Linked DNA regions of Notamacropus eugenii. The protein of the gene in region 1 purifies or fractionates together with the protein of each later gene. This does not show direct contact. Links are inferred from orthologs where the notes say so. Each region holds a gene or a part of one and is shown in the gene's direction. Other genes may lie near its edges.

The links.
Region 2: the proteins of EPS15 (region 1) and GJA1 purify together in Homo sapiens (affinity purification with western blotting; 3 studies listed by BioGRID). This does not show direct contact. The link is inferred for Notamacropus eugenii from reciprocal best matches to the Homo sapiens genes EPS15 and GJA1.

Annotation. Positions count from the first base shown.
Region 1 is NC_092873.1:511,774,401-511,782,867, reverse strand, and holds the start of EPS15 (epidermal growth factor receptor substrate 15), read left to right. Parts: upstream 1-5,362; 5' UTR 5,363-5,458; coding exon 5,459-5,491; intron 5,492-8,467. UniProt on the Homo sapiens protein: Involved in cell growth regulation. May be involved in the regulation of mitogenic signals and control of cell proliferation. Involved in the internalization of ligand-inducible receptors of the receptor tyrosine kinase (RTK) type, in particular EGFR.
Region 2 is NC_092873.1:203,953,648-203,961,934, forward strand, and holds the start of GJA1 (gap junction alpha-1 protein), read left to right. Parts: upstream 1-5,005; 5' UTR 5,006-5,149; exon of another isoform or gene 5,150-5,324; intron 5,325-6,025; exon of another isoform or gene 6,026-6,219; intron 6,220-8,287. UniProt on the Homo sapiens protein: Gap junction protein that acts as a regulator of bladder capacity. A gap junction consists of a cluster of closely packed pairs of transmembrane channels, the connexons, through which materials of low MW diffuse from one cell to a neighboring cell.

The DNA of each region.
Region 1 (8,467 bases):
TTCCCCTCTGTAGGCCTCAGCCTCTTCATCTGCAAGATGATTGGGTTGGACTGCCTGGCCTCCAAGGACCTTTCTAGTTCTAAATCTACGATACCATGAAAACCAGCCATTTCTACATATTGCCCATCCTAAAAAATGGCCCAGTGTGTAATGGCAGGCAGTAAGACCTGGTGGAAAGAAGCCTGGTTTGTAATGGTCAGAAGACCTGAATGGGAATCCTGAGGCTCAGTAGCTCTAAGTATGTATGTATGTAGATGGCTCCTAACCTGTATTGGAGAGAGCCTTCATTTTTCTCCAGGTTTTGACTCCAGGTCTGAAGCACCAGCTGTCTGCTGGATCTCTCCACCATCCTGCCCCTTAGGGCCTCCATCTCCTCATTATCCCAAACAGAACTTGTCTTCTCTTCTTCAAAGCCATCCCTTTTCTGAACTTCCCTCTTTCTGGAGAGGGCACTGCCATCCTCCAGGGCACCCAGGCTCCCCACCTGAGTCACCCTTGACTTGGCATGCTCCTTTCCCCCTCTCCCCAGTCATGCAATTCCCAAACCTTGTTAACTTTACCTCCCCAGAATACCTCACACCTGTCTTCTCTTCATTCACACAGCTCATGCCTCATCACCTGTACTATTATGAGAGTCTCCTAATGAGTCCTAATGGCTCTCCCCTTCTAGGCTATTCCCCTGCAAATGATCTTTCTAAAGTAGTCTAGCCATGTCACTCCCCTGTCCAAGGAATGCTGGGAGCTATTACATCCAGGATAAAAAACAAACTCCCCTGGAATTCATAATGTGGCACTAGCCTTTTCTTTCTGGCTTAATTCCTTTAGAGTCCAGATTTCAGCTAAACTGTCCTAGTGGTCCCCCTACACAGAATTCCTGCCCTTCACCTGTGTACTAAGGATGCCTATCCCCTAACTGGAATGCTGCCCCCTGGTCTCTGCCTCTTGGAAACCCAAGCTTGCCTCAGAGCTCAGCTCCAATGGCACTTCTACCAACAGGCCTGCCATGATTCCCGCCCCCCACCCCCCGGGATGTAAAGGCCCCCTCCCATCATTCTGTATCTCTCTTATATCGACAGTCTCCCTAAAGAAAGTTAAAGTTCCTTGAGCAGAGGGACTGTTCCACTTTTGTCTTTGTATTTCCGTTGACCTCCTCTAAGTACCTGGCACAGAGCAGGCACCTAATAGGTGCTTGTCCATGTTTTTACATGATCCAGGACAAGTAATTTTGTTTTTTGGGACAGCAGTTTCTAGATGCATCTGTTGTTGTTTAGTCATTTTCAGTCCTGTGCAACTCTTCGTGACCCCATTGGGGGTTTTCTTGGCAAAATTATTGGAGTGGTTGGCCATTTCCTTCTCCATATCCTTCCAGAGGAAACTGAGACAAACAGGGTTAAGGCACTTGCCCAGGGTCACACAGGTATTAAATGTCTGAGGTTGGATCTGAACTCCCGAAGATGAGTCTTCCTGACTCCAGGCCTGGAGATCTGTCTCCTTGGCCATGTGGCTGCATGGGCCTCATCTGTAGAATGGGGGAAATAATAGTAATGGAGTCATTGTGAATATACTTTCAAAATGGTAGAGCACCATGGAAGTGTTAGTTCATATTTTTAGTGGAATAGGGCCAGCTTGGTGTATCCTGGGCTGGAGTCAGGAAGAGGTAGTTTCAAATCTGGTCCTGACTTTAGGTCCCTGGATCTGAATGCCAGATATGCCACATGTGACCTCAGGCAAGGCATGTAACCTCTTTAGGCCTCAGTGTCCACATCTGTAAGATGAGGAGGAGTTAGAATAGGTGACCTTTAAATCCTATTATCTTCCTCTGAGCTATGATCTGTCAGTATCTGGAATCAAGAGACCTGGATCCAAATCCCAAAGAGGTTACTTGTGGCATGGTGGATAGAACAGCCAGATGATCCAGCAGACTGCTACAGTTATTACTGAAAAGGACACTGGGTATAGAAGCAGAACAGAGCAAGGTCTGAATCCGGCCTTCTGACACTCACTAGCTCTATGACCCTGGGGCAGTCCCTTGGCCTGTGTTTCAGGCAAGTCCCTAATACTTCTCGGCTGAGCCCACTGAATCAGGAAAGGGAGTGTCCCCTGTGGAGGCTGTAGATTCCTTCTGCCCTTCTGGGAATGTTAGTGGAAAGAAGCCCTGACACCCATGACTCCTTCATAGGTGTTCAGGTCCAGCAGGTATTACCTGCATTGTAGAGATGAGGAAATGAGGCCCAGAGAGTGTCCTCCCCTACAATCAATCAAACTGGAAATGTCCAAGGTAGGATATGAACTCAGCTCTCTCTTGCCTCAAGTCTCCCCGCCCCTCCCCCTGGCACCATGACTACCTGGAAGATGGGAAGAGCTTGTGAAGTCAGGTTTTTGGACTCCAAAATTCTGCCTAATAACAGCCCATAGGATTGACCCTCCTAATTTTACAGATGAGTCACCTGAGGCCAGAAGGTAAAGTGAGCTGCCTGAAAGGCTCCACAGTGAGTGGCAGACCTAGGCACCCAGTTCCTCTGCCTCTACCCTGCTGCTGATCTTTTCTCCAGGTTTCTCTCTCCCAGGGTGGGGCCCCAGCAAGGGGTCCCTACTGTTCTGTAACACAATTGTTATTTTGCTCCCCTCAACCCCAATCCCCCATTGCTTTTCCCAGAACAAGGCAAACTATATTTACTAAACTGACCACTGGGACCATCCTCCCCAGTGCTCTACATCACCATGATGGAAGTGAAAGTACAGTTGTTGTTGGGCAGAGGGGGAGGGGCATCGTAGCTCCGTTCGGATGGGCCTTTAACCCACCCCTTTCTGTAAGTAAAACAGGAGCTTTGTGTGCCCTGAGATAGCAGTGTCTTCCAAGTGAAGCCCTATAGGCACCAGCCTTCCTTCAGACTCAAGCCATAATACAGTGTTCCTCAGTTTGCTGATGCTGACATCACAAAACTGGAGTGTTCCCTGGTGACTGAGCTGATAGCAGCCTACAGCCCTTAGAAAACAAAAGAAAACTGAGAATGACATACAAAGAAAATCCTGTATCTGAGTTCCCTTAGCCTCCTCCACTCACTGAGAGATGAGTGTTCATGTGTGGATGCATGTATATGTGTGTGTGTGTGTGTGTGTATGCTCAGTTCCTCATCCCAAACCAGTTGGGGGCAGGAGGGTAGGCAGATCACTTTGTGGCTCTGCCCCCTTCACTGGTTAATCATCAGGGCCATTCCCATTTATACAGCACTTTAAGGATTACATGGCATTCACAAAAACCTTATGAAGCAGTGTGTACCTTGGAAACAGGGATGGAGATAGATTTGGAAGACCTGGGTTTGGACTCTAGGTTTGGGGACTTATTATTTACTGTATGTGACCTTACAAGAGTCACTTAATTTTCCTGAGGCTCAGTGTCTCCCCTGTTAGAATACAATCACCTAGTGATGGGAATTGTTTCATTTATTGTTATTATATGCCCAATACCTGGCACACAGTAGGAGCTTAATCAGTGCTTGTTGGTTAAGTCTGTTTCAGCTTTAAATCTAATACAACCCAGATCTTTCTGTCTTCATCTCACAGATGACAAAACTAAGGCTAAGAGACTGGTAATAAAAATACTAATATTTATACAGTGCTTTCTTACTATATGCTAGGTACAGGGCTAAGTACTTTACAAATATTATCTTGTGTGATCCTCACAACAACCTACAGTCACAGACAGAACTCCTAAGTGTCAGAGCATCTATATGAACCAAAGGAATTCCAGGTGTAACACAGCTGATGAGGGAGTGGTCAGCTCTGCTTAGTTCTCCGAGGAGGGGGGACCCATGGCCTCCTGAGGCCACCTGTCCCATTCTGGGAAAGTCCTCATTGTCGGATCATTTAACATTAGAACTTTTCCTGACGCTAACCCTAAACTGACTCCAGTTAGAGCAACAACTCAACTTTCTACAGCTCTTTAAGGCTGACAAAGAGCTTCTCTCCCAATGACCTTGCAGCACAAGGGCCATTGATTATGCCCATTTTACTGATGAGGAAGCTGTCTCAAAAAAGATGTAGGGGTTTTACTACTTGTCTTTTCTGACTTCAAGCCCAGGGCTCTGAGTCTTGGCAGGCATCTTCTTCATTTTATAGATGAAGACCCAGAGGGCGCAGGCAAGGGGCTCAGGGTCGGCCGTCCGTGCTGCCTCTGGGGTGAGAAGCTCCGAGTTTGAATGATGCAATGGGCTCGGATGGCCAGGAAGGCCATGCCATGCAGCAAGCACCTGCTGCGGGCAGGGTCTCTGCTCGGCCAAAGGTTGTGCGCCCAATTTAAAATAATATCCGTAAATCGCATTTCTTAAGGTGACTTAGAAACCTCCTCGAGCAAAGATTAAAAAAATGGAAGAGAAAAGGGAAGAAACAGCCCCTGCCCTCGAGGAACCGGCCTTCTGCCCCGAAGACAGCCCGCACACGTGCGGGGAAGGCTCCGGCAGCTGCTGGCGGGCAGGGGCCGGCTCCAGGAGGGCTTGGAGCCGGGGGGCATTTGACCCGAACTGGGGGTGACACGAGGGGTCTTCACCAGGCCGGGGTGCGAGGGCAGGGGAGCCGTCGGGCGGGGCTTTGCCCGGGAAGGCCGGGCGCGGGAGGGTGCCAGCCTCAAACAGGACTCGTCCCTGGCTCTAGGGGGTTAGGGAGCCCGCGGAGCTCGCAGGAGGGCAGGGCCGCCCGGAGAGCCGCCCTCGAGGACGTCGCCTGGGCAGCCTCGTGTGCGGCAGCCGGACTGGAGCGGGCAGATGGCCGCGAGGCCCAGGTGACGTCCAGGTGAGAGCGGAGGGGCGGGGCGGAGCCACCACGTGGTTTGGCTGGCTGGGAGCCAGGAGGTTTGGAGCCCAGGTGGCTGCCCTGATAAGGTCAGGGGGTAGTTCAGGAAGTGGGGGGCCGGGGGAGATCATGAGTTCTGCCCGGGGGACGGCCCACTTGGAGTATCCCGAGTCTCGCCAGCGGCGGCCCTGGGGCTGTTGGATGGGCTGGAAGGGGACCTCGAGGAGCGCTCCAGGGAGGTCATCCTGACCGGGTTTTCCGTTCCGCCAGCCTTCGGGCCGGGAGTGAAGGGGAGGGGACGAGCGGTAGTCCGGTCCGGGCGGAGTCCGGCTCCGGTCCGGGCGGAGTCTGCGGGAGCCGGCACAGAGGGTGATCCGCACCGGGTTTTCGGGGCGGCCCGGGGCGGAGGGGCGGGGGAAGCGGAGTGCGTGGGTGTGCACGCGCGCGCGCTTCGGAGCGAGGGCGGGAGAGGCAGGGTGTGAGGGCGGGGGCGGGGCCGGGCCGGGCGGGGCGTGGCTCCAGGAGGGAAGTTGCTGAAGTTGGGTGAGCCGCCCGGGCCTGGCCGCCGCCTTCTTCTGCGCTTCCTTCTCTTTCCCCTCCGCCGTCTCGAGCGTGTCGGCGCCCGCCTCCGTCCTCGCCGCGGCCGCTCGCCGTGCATGATGGAAACACCATGGCTTCGGCGGCCCAGCTCTCCCTGACCCAGGTAACGAGGCGGGCTGCCCGGGCGCGCCCCCGCCCCCGCCCTCTCCGCGCGCCCCCGCCCTGTGCCCGCGCGCGCGCCCCCGCCGCCCGCTTCACCCCCTCGGCCCAACCGCCGGCTCCCGAGCCGAGCCGAGCGCCCTCGGCCGCGTCCAACCGTCCCGGGCCGCTGCCGGGGCTCGCGGCCGGGACGGGAGGGATGCCCACTTCGGGTGCGAGGGCGCTGGGCGGCCAGCAAACCCATCCCGTGGCAGAGGGGAAACTGAGGCAGGGGGCGGCACCCGCGTGCGGCCCCTCCTGGTGCCCCTGTGCTGCTCTCCCTTCATCCTAAGGTCATAGAGGGAGGTCATGGCGCTGGCAGGGGGCCGTCCCGGCGACTCCCCCCACGGTACGGAGTCCTGGAGACTGTTTCTGGGCGTAACGCGGGGCCTGAGTCACCCCGCTAGGCTCAGGTACACCGTAGGCGCTTCATAAATGCCGCTTGATGGGGTTCGTGCAGAGCTAATGGGCGCGTCTCGTCCTCCCCCTTAGTTGACAGATGAGGAAACTGAGCCCCTAGGCTGCCCCCGCAGCCCAGCCCCCCAGCAGCTCCCTTCCCCCACTTGCGAGCCCCCATCTCCCAGCAGTCAGAGCCACCTCAGGTTCACTCCTCTGGAAAGTGGGAGAGGCTTTTAGAGCTTTCCTTGTGCCAGGGCTGAGCCCTTCCCACCCAGCCTCCATTCCCTTGCCCCCAGAATCAGCTCCATACCCCCCAGGTCTCGTCCTTTCAGTGTCCAGCCCAGAGAAAGCCCGAAGTGCCAGGTGCTAGCCTGCCCGCCGCTGCCCTCGCCCTCCCTGAGCCCCCACTCGGAATTCCTCCCCATCCTTCCATAAAGGCAGGCAGGGATGTTCCCTTCAGGTCATGTCTTTCTCAACTTCTGATCTGGCCCTTTCCGGAGTCATCCAACCTTCGGCTGGAGATAAAGTGACCACACTTTTTGTGGGACTTGTTGGTTCCTGCTAAGGGCTGGACCTGAGATATATAGACCCAGTTGCCGGGCGGGTGGGTGAGGGGTGTTATTTGTAACTACCTGTCAGGAGATAGGAATGCCCTTGTCCTGAGCCAGTCAAGTCTCCCTCTCAGAACTGATAGGAGACTGAAGAAAGGCTTTTGCAAGGAGCCCTGGACTGGGGCAGAACCGCAGCGATCTCTTGACCAGGGTCACAGGTTGGATGTGTTTGGATAGTTCCTGAAGGATTGTTGGGGCCTTTCAGATTGTAGGGGCTGAGTTTATAAATGTCTCTTGAAGTTGAAGGACCACTGTAGCCGTGAGCTCTTTCTTTTAAAAATGCATTTGGTGCTTTAAATGTTCATTTAATAAGAATACTACTGGCAGGGTAAAGGTTTTATTTTCCAGTGGTCATTTTGAAAAGTTGTGCTCAGGATGAGATGGTAATGATTTTCATGTTTGTTGGCCACTTCTGCATTATGAACACGGTCGCACTCACTCAATCTTCTGCAGTTTTGTAGGCAGTCATATGCTATAGTAAAGTTGTCAAGGACATAGACTTGGGAAGCAGGTGCTCCCCAGCAGGTCCCCTTCGCTCTGTACCTAAAGACCCAGGCAGGTCCCACCTACTAAGGCAGGAAGGCCTCCCTCAGTCTACTTAAAGAGGAGGAGGTGCTCTCATCACTAGAAGACTGGCTCCAGCAGCTTTTTATGCCATCTACTAAATCTTGAAGGGACTGTGGAGGGAGGGAACATTCACCCTAAGAAACACCAATGCTTTGGATGACTAGCATAAATACCTCATGGGTTGTAAGGCATTTTTTTCCCCTCATCTATAAGATGAGGAGGCCATTAAACTCAGGATGTAGGATTGGAGAGCAGGGAGGGACCTAATGGATGTTCTCTAGTGCATCTTTGAGGCCTATGGAGGTTAGATGATTTGTTCATGGACTCTTGGCTAGGAGGTAGCAGTCAGGATTTGAACCCGCTCCAAATTTGGGGCTTTTCATCACTTCCCAGGGCTGCCTTTTGGACTGGTCTGGGTTGTGCTTGATTTCACTTTGGAGAGCAGGTACTTCGTTGCATCTTCCAGCTGGAGCAGGAGCTAATTTTAGGTTGTTTGGATTCTGAGATATCCAGAGAGGAGTCAGCAGACAAAACTCGTGTTCATAGACTATGGAGATGCCCCTGGATGGTCTGTCTCTAGCATCGTGTGACTGTACAATGCCTGGGTAGTTGAAAGGTTTTTGCTCCGTGAGCTACAGGAACAGTAGATAATTTGATTTAAACTCAAGGGTAGGGATGAAGTTGTCCTCATCATCTTTTCTCTCTCTGTGTCCTGCAGAGTGGCATTGAATATAATAAGCATGACATATTTCTGCAATCTCTACTTTACAAGGTCTCCGTCAGATAAGAGGTTTTTGAAGAGGGTCTTCTGGCTTCTAACTTTCTGCCTTGGTAGACATTTCTTTACGAAGAAGGATTCAGTTTGAGGGTTCTTCCTCTGGCAGTCTGCCTTGCTTCTGTTCTAGCCCCAGGAGGGGAAACAGGAGAGACTGATGGATGACTAGACAGCATGGTAGGGTGGAGCTGGAGCCCTAGACAGCTCTGGGGTCCCAGCATTCTCGTCCTCAGTCTGTCTGGAGCTGAGCTAGTTTCAGACACCTTGGTGGTGTAATGAAGGGGTTAAGGCTAGAGAGCCTCTCCCTGTCAGCTCTGCCATTCAGTGATTTGGTTCTGACCCAAGATCTTGCCAATCTAGACATCTTGGAAGAGCCCTGAAGTCGGGAAATTCCAAGTCTAGCCCTTATCAGCCATGGGTTCCTATACTGACAAGACATTTGTCTTCTCTAAACTTTAGTCTCTTCATCTGGAAAATGGGAATAGTAATAATGTCTGCATTGTCAAACCCATCAAGTGGTTTGGGGAGTCCACTGCCATCCTAGATGATTTGTTTCCTTCTGGTCATTTCTGAGCCATGATTAACATGA
Region 2 (8,287 bases), about 310 Mb from region 1:
AACAGAAATTTTATACATATAAAATCAAATTTTAGGTACCTCCTCTAGGTTGAGGGTATGTAAAGTACATTAAATACACAAATGAGCAAGAAATGAAAAGATAAGAAAATACACTTCTCTCCTCTCTTTTCATAGGCTGAGGATTATGGGTATGAAACATTGTATATATGCTGTCAGACTTGCTTGATTTTTTGGTTAGTTTTAGTAAACTTTCTCTTACTCTCCATTTTTCATTTTTTTATTCTTCATTACAAAGGGGCTATATGGGTAGGAGAGAAGATAGGGATACAGCAAAATTAAAATGATGCAAAAACAAAAGTTACGAATATGTAGATGAGACTCCCAGGTTCATCTCCCAGGTTCATAACTGTTGAAAAGAGTTGCAGCAGATGGGAAGTGATGGGAATGCCTTTAATTGGAGAATGAAGTAGGGGTAGCTAACATCCACCTCACCTTTGGTTACAGGGGACTTTCTCAGATTAAATTGTGTCATTACTTTTCAAGCTGGCTTTGCCAGACTTGTATTCTTTCCACTAAATTGAGCTTGGAAAATTTGCTTGGAGTGTATTTTAATGTTAGAGGAGACATCACTGTACCGAAGTACCATTATTTGATCTTCTGGCTTATTTTCCCCCACTCTTTTCATATTATTTGTCTGCATTGGATTTAAAAATAAGGCAATGCAGAAATCTGACTCTATCAGTGAAGATTAGCTTATCAATATGGTATAAACCAAAGAGGGAAAATCAGTGGAACCAGTCCCCAAGCTAAGACACTACTTCTCACAACAATGTGTATTGGTATATTTCATTCTGAAACTGTAATTTGCTCTTCTACAGTAATTTGCTGTATATTTTTCAAGCTAAGTATTAAAACCAAGTAACAGAATTTTTTAAAGCTGAAAGATTGACCCCAGCAGATCAGAAAGACTGCCTTACTTAGGGCAGGAACTCATGACTCCTGTTTCCTTGCTTCTTTCTGAGGAAGGTTAACTCTGGAAAAAACCTCCTGAATGTTTTGGCCCTGTCCAATTCTTTTTCCTTCAAAAACATATTTATTTGGTAGCTTTTGTTTATACATCAGCTTTGTTTTTGTATGTGTTCCATCCTCCTACACTAACAACAAATTGTCTATCCCTTGTCCTAGTGGGAGAAAGAAAAACAGGTCAGTAAAACTAACAACGTATCAACCCAATCTGATAGTAGCATATTCAATGTTGCATATTTTGAAAGAGAGAGGGAGAGCGAGATGCATTTTCTTTTCTCCTGTCCAAACTTGGTTGTTAAAATTACATAGTATTAAGATTTACTTGAGCTAATTGTGTTCTTTCCATTTACATTGTTATATTGTCATATACACATATATGTACACATATATGTTCTGCCTACTTTACTCTGTATCAGTTTATTTAAGGTTTTTTTTTCAGGTTTCTTCGAACTCTTCATATTCATTTATTAAGGTGCAGTAATATTCAATTGCATTCACATACCACAGTTTGCTTAGCTATTTCCCTAAATAACGGCACTGTTCATTTCTTCTGCCCAACTAATCTAATCTCCAGATCACTTATCTGGGTTAACACTATTTAACCAGCAAGAAATCATTCAATATACTACAACAACTATTGTTAATTAAACAACATGAGTTAATTCTGAGAGTAACCTATGTCATTTAATGAACTTTTTGTTTTTCCAAGCTTCATTGAAGCATTCTACTTTTCAATTCATATTTTCAGGATGTACTAAAAAAAAATCTGTTCTGTTTAATTCATGCCCATATTCTACCTTGTTATTGAAGAATGATTCAGGATGTACTAAAAAAAAAATCTGTCCTGTTTAATTCATGCCCGTATTCTACCTTGTTATTGAAGAATCATTGCGTCACTTGACAATTGGGCAAAAGTCATTTAAGAGAACATGTGAGTCCAAAAAAGCAGGGACATATATTTTGGATTAACTGTTCAAATCTTAATCTAAATGTTTCCATAAATCTTTCCAACTGAAAAAATATCCAAATTGTAGTAGAATAATTCTTTCCAAATGAAAAGAAATCCAAATTGTAGTAGAATAATTCTTAAAAATGGAATCAATTATAAAAATTTTAAAATAATTACATTATGTAGGTACAATTTAGAGAAACAAAATATCAGTAGAGGAGAACAATCCAAATTTTATAATTTCAACTTGGATAGATCTTTTCTGTTGAGTTATTGTTGTTCTAATAGGACAGTTTATAGGAAAGGAGCTGATTTTTGGTATTATCAGCAACAGTGCACAAATTTTCATCCAGTTATTCTAAGTAAGGACAGAGAGGAATACCTATAAACTTCTCATCTCATAAGAGATTGTTGGCAAACCATTTCAGAGCAAAGAAAGGAAATCAGGTAGATTTAATAATGCAGACTAATTTAGGATCCTATATTTAGAACTTATAGGTGTTTTGGAAGTTCTTACTCCCTCATTTTATATATAAGGAAACTAAGGATCAAAGAAGTTAAGAGACTTGCACATAGTCACACAACTAGTGTCAAAGGCAGCATAGAGCTGAGCTCAGGTCTTCCTGACTCCAGGTTCAACTTTCTATCTCTCTCATTGAATCCCATGAATTGGGGTCTAGTCTTTGACTTAGACCACCAGCTTATGAAATTCTCATTAAGAATCCACATCAGTTTGACTTGAGTTCTATTTCTCTTTGTTCATAAAGATAACAGGTCAAAAATGTATCAAGTTATTTATAAGTGGACTAGATCCTTAAATATAGATCCATCTATTTGTAATGATGACAATCTTGTTTTCATGGTATTGCTACTGACTAGTTAGTCACAATATCTCCTTTGCCACAACTAATTTGAAATGCAACTTTGGAATCTATGAGATGGTGAATTCTCATAATAATTCTATCTAATGGAATGCAGAAAATCTGATTATTAACCAAACTGGATAAAGAAAAATCCAACTGTTAAAAAAGAAATAGTGAGGCACTTCTTATAATGAATCATTTCCATATTAAAGTCTTTTGAATCCTGGGACAGTTATCTTCCCACAGTTTTGCCTTTTGTTCCTAAAAATGAGTAAAACATTTCCTTAAAAAATGGCTAGATAAATGTAAAATAAACGACAATAATAATGTTTATGAATTTCTAAGGATCGATCATTGAAAGCTGTACTACAGTTTCATGCATATAATAGCTTTCCTTCTTAGTTACAGGGAAAACAAGTTTAATTATGACTTTCAATGAAGCAAGGGAAAAGGGATGGGCTATATTAGGATAAATATAGCAGATTGTATCTAATGGTAAAGGAGTTGAAATGTTTAGGACCTGAAGAGTTACACTGGATTTGATACAAAGACTGTATATAGTTAGTCATTATGGGAGTTGTACTTTGAAAGTTTAACTAGGACAGAGCTCCATGAAGAACTGAATAGTTAGGTGGTATTTAAACTAGTTTTAAAACAACAACAATGGAGAACCTTTTTAAATTTAAACAACTGGTTAATCTGAAGAGTGATCAATTGTTTAACCAGTTTGACTAAATGTAGCTGGGTTACCTTCAAACCAATTTGTGTTTGCAGACCATAAAATGTTCTTTTACTCACTCAAATGTGTTGTCTTTCATAGTGTTGTATGACTCCTTAAGAAGAGCACAATTAGAATGAGGATAAACTAATGTCTTAACAGAAAAGGCTTCATAAGTTCCACAAGATATTTATGAGTCTATTCAGTGAAAGTAAAGTCATTCGCATCTTTGGAGAAAGGTTACTTCTTTCAAAATATTTGTCTCATTTCTTTCTGGTGGGAGACTTCAAAAATGAAGATGAAAGTCTATAGCACTAGATGAGCTCACCTTGCTAAGAGAAAATGGGCCCAAGGAGTGTCGTGAGCACTATCTCCCACCTATCCTATCCAGGTAGCATGGTGCAAACATATTTGTGGGGAGCTGTCCAACCACAGAGCCCTGCTGGGGCAGCTGAGAAGCCCACAAAGGGAACTGCTCACACCAGGAGTGAGAGCATCCAACAAAATAACTCTGTATGACTCAGGTAATTATAAAGACTGATGCAGAGTCTTGAATAGTTAGTGCCATGAAAACACTAAAGCGACTCATGAAAATTATGTGCAACGCTCAACAGTCATTGGGCAAAAGGTTCTTCTGTGATTTTTAGAGAGGGAGTTGGTCTCAAGGAGGGTCTAATGGGTATGGATGAGAGCCAAAGCTAACTTGACCTTAACCCAACTGGCAACATTAGCACTACAAGCCTGTATTCAGTAAAATAACCTAATATTTTTTCTTGCTAAACGCTGTTTCATTAAATATCTTGCATTAATCTGGGCATTGTTTCATTAAAGGGTTCTGAGATTATATTATAGTAACTACAGCTCCCTCATAGAAACTTGAGCAGATAAGGATTTCACAGTCAGCTGAATTTCGAAAAGCTAACTAAATAAACACACCTTGGCTTTTTGGTTAGCTTCTGAAGGAAATGGCAAAAATCCAGGATGGGCAGAGGGGGGGAAAAGTTAAGACAGATGTGTTTATTTTGGAAACTTCAGGGTGTCCCCCACTTGCCTGTTATTTGTCACTATCCAAGAGAAGAAAAGTGTTGAATAAAAAGAAGTTACTCTCGTCACCTTTAGCTTTCCCATTACTTAGTCTAAGGAATTCTGTCTCCATTAAAAAAATTTGGCATCTATTAATCGTTGCGTATCTACCTACCTACCTGTCTATTTAATCTGTCGACATATTTCACAATCAATCGCCTGTGTTCTAGGAAAAGGCTGTATTTTTTATTTTTTTTAATATAGTAGCTATTGTCTTACTTTCTAGAGCTTCTGGTTAAAAGGGACACCCATCAACGACGATGCTGAGACTCATAGTTCAGAGGAACGAGTCTAACCGTACTTTTCTTTTGCTCCCACTTTTAGTGGCGGGACCCTTTTCAAGTTCCTCTGTTTCTTACCCGTTCGCTTTACCCTCGCCTCTCCGCCCCCCTCTCCTCCCACAGTTTGCTGTTCCAGGCTCCTCTTTGGCCGCTCCTCCCCTTTCGCCCGTCCCCTTTCTGATGCTAACCCCTCCTTGAAGTTTAGTCAGTGGCTTGAAAACTTTTAAAAAGCTCTCTGTGCTCCAAGTTACAAAAAGGCTTTTACGAGGTATCAGCACTTTTCTTTCATTAGAGGGAAGGAGGGAGGAAAGGACAAAACGGCAGCAGACTTTTAAACTTTAAATAGACAGGTCTGAGTGCCTGAACTGGCTTTTCCATTTTATTTCAGCCTCCAAAGAGTTCAATCATTTGCTCGGGCTCCATCACTCCTTTTAAGCAAAAGAGTAAGTTCTAAAGAAAAAACTTTACCTATTATCTTCTTTCTCTTTAAGTAAAACTTTTCTAAAGTTTGTAAGTGCTTGAAAATTTCGTATTTAAGTAAAGAACTGCAAATAATATGGTGAATGGAATGGACTTTGTTTTGTTTTGTTTTTTAAATTAAGACTTTCGAATATCCTAGCTTTCTTTTGAGAGTTTAAAAAGTTTTGTCAGTTAATGCTGCAACAGGTAAAATGTCCAGAACCCTCTGCTTGGAAGCTGGAAAGTCGAAACTGATTTTGGGGGGGTTTCTAGAATATACATATATGTATACATATACGTAATAACACAGTGCCGTTCTATAAAGTGTAATTTTACTTTGATTCTTAAAATAATTTAGGTGTGTTGCAGTTGGAGGGAAATGTGGGAGGGAGGGTGCGCACTGACAGCATCTTCAAAATTAGAGCTTTGCCTTGCCTGCTTTCTATCTGTTTTCTTCACGGTGTACTTTAATATGGAAATCTTGATTGCTTTATAATAGCCTGTACCGAGTTAACTTCTTAATTAGGCGCATTGTTAAGATATTGCTAACCCTGATCCGGTGACTTGCACGTGGTCTCTCCCTGAAATTATCTGCTTTTCTAAAAACCGGATGGAAAGACCCCAGACGGATACATGAAATGTGGAAATTAAAAGAAAAAAAAGTAACTGAATAAGTTTACTCTGTGTTTCCAACTCCTACTAGAACTCTCCTGTTGAGGGAAGGTTTGAAGAGAAAGCCTCCTGTGCTTCCCACCACGTTGGCAATTTGTGGGAACTGAGGTATTTTCAGTGGCTGGTGGGTGTTTTACTGATTATCTCAACAACTGGAAGGACCATCTCCTTGTGCCAATCAGTAATATCCATAAGTTGTCTCCAGAGCTAGGGAAAAGAATAGGAAAAGTGTGATTCTTAACCAGCATCTTACAAAGATGCCTTTTCTTAAACCTGAAGCAGATTCCAGGACTCTAGAGGGGTTTCCCCTTTGTTACTGTTGCCTGAGTTCTTGCCAGTAATCAAAGATTCAGCCAATGTTGTCAAAGGGGGTTCAGTTAGAAATATTTTCTTTTATTGAGATAACACATGTTCTGCTATTCAGAAATGCAAAAATGCACGTCTGTGCTCTGTGGATTTTCCCCTGATTTGCTTTAATCCCCAATCTAAAGCAATTACTTTAACTCCTTAAAGTAGGTTCTGCTATATGTAGTAAAAAGGTTGAAAAAAAAAGCATTTTCTCTAGGCAGCTTCCATGTTTGAAAAGGGAACATTAAACACAGAGTTGGAGAGAGAATGAAAAAGAAAACTCTTTGTGAGTAGTGACTTGTGTCTCAGACTCGTGTGTGGTGGAGATCAGATCAGAGGTAACATGAGCTCTGCCATCTTAACATCTGGACTGCTTAACATACTACAGAACTCCTGATGATCTGGATTTTGAAATGTTTACCAAGTTGTTGCCCTCCGAGTCTTCCAGAGTTAAAGTGCGCCTGCTGACCCAGGTCTACTCATAAAAAATGGGTGGTGGTTGGTATGCAAAGAACAAAGATTGAAATACTGGTAGAGAAGAATAGATTTGATCTTGTCACTCTCTGTCCTGATAGGCATAAGTAGAGCCCTTTATTCTCTCAAACATGCAGGACACAGAGATACCCTTATAGCTTTCAAAGTCAGACCATATTAGGTAGTGTGATAAAACATGCCTAATAACTTTTATCTTGAAGCAACTTTAAAACATTTTTAGGGCTTCTATGAACATCTCTGAGACTGAGTTGAGTGGGAGACATTGCCTTAATTTTTAAGTGAAGAAACTGAGGTATTACTGAGAGAAGGAGAAAATGTACTCTACCCAAGTCCAACCCTATCCTGGGATGATTAGATTGTACTACCTCCTTAGCTGTGGTTATTTAATTGAATATTGACTGATTTCATATTTGCCCAGCCCTGCGCTAGGTGAATTTTACAACCTTATCTTGCTTCAATTGTCTCTCTACCACCACATCTGTTGTATCTATATACACAGATATGTATTTTTCTTTGTTTCAACCCCAGGTTTTGGGGAAGTGAGGGTACAGAGTGATAGTAGGAGGCATTTATCTGTACCTTAGAAATTTTAGTATCAAACACAAGCTTCTGGTTTGGGAATGGATTGCATTTATTTTGAACCAAGTCTTTAATGATAGAAAAGATAAATATTGCATTATAAAACATATGAGTTGAGCTAATTTGTTATTTCCTTAATGCTTGAGATTGTTGAGGCAAAACTCCTATGTAATTGAGTATTCCCACTATCCTCCAAAACCACCTTTCATTTAACCACTCCCTGAAAAAGACAATAAAGACCACAGGATGAATTGAGCTAGAATGTATTAAAAATCATAGACTTAGACCTAGGAGGGATCTTAGAGTTTACTTAGTCCAAACTGTTTCATTTTGTAGGTGAAAAAACTGGGAGGGAGGCAAAGATGAAGTGACATGCCCTAAGTCACAGGGAGTGTGAATGACTGAACAAGGATTTGAACTGGGGCCTTCCAAGACTTTTTTTCAGATAGGACACACTTAGAAGCTAAGAAGAAATTACTAAGTTTAGCCTGAAGGGAGGATTATTTTCTTTAATCAATCAACTTTTTAAGCTTGTCATGGCGCATATTAGGCACTGTGCTAGGTGCTGGGAATACAAAAACAAAAGAGAGAGAGAGAGAGAGAGAGAGAGAGAGAGAGAGGGAGGGAGGGAGGGAGGGAGGGAGGGAGGGAGAGAGAGAGAGAGAGAGAGATTATAAACACGCATACATATAGAAATACAGAGATAGAGAGTAAGAGTCAGAGAAAGTGATAAAGACAGAGAGACAGAAGGAGACATTGAGAAAGAGAGAAGAACAAGAGACAGACAAATGCAGAAAGATTGTATAAATTCTTAAGGGGAATATCTAAAACATTGTACTAAGTACAGTGTACA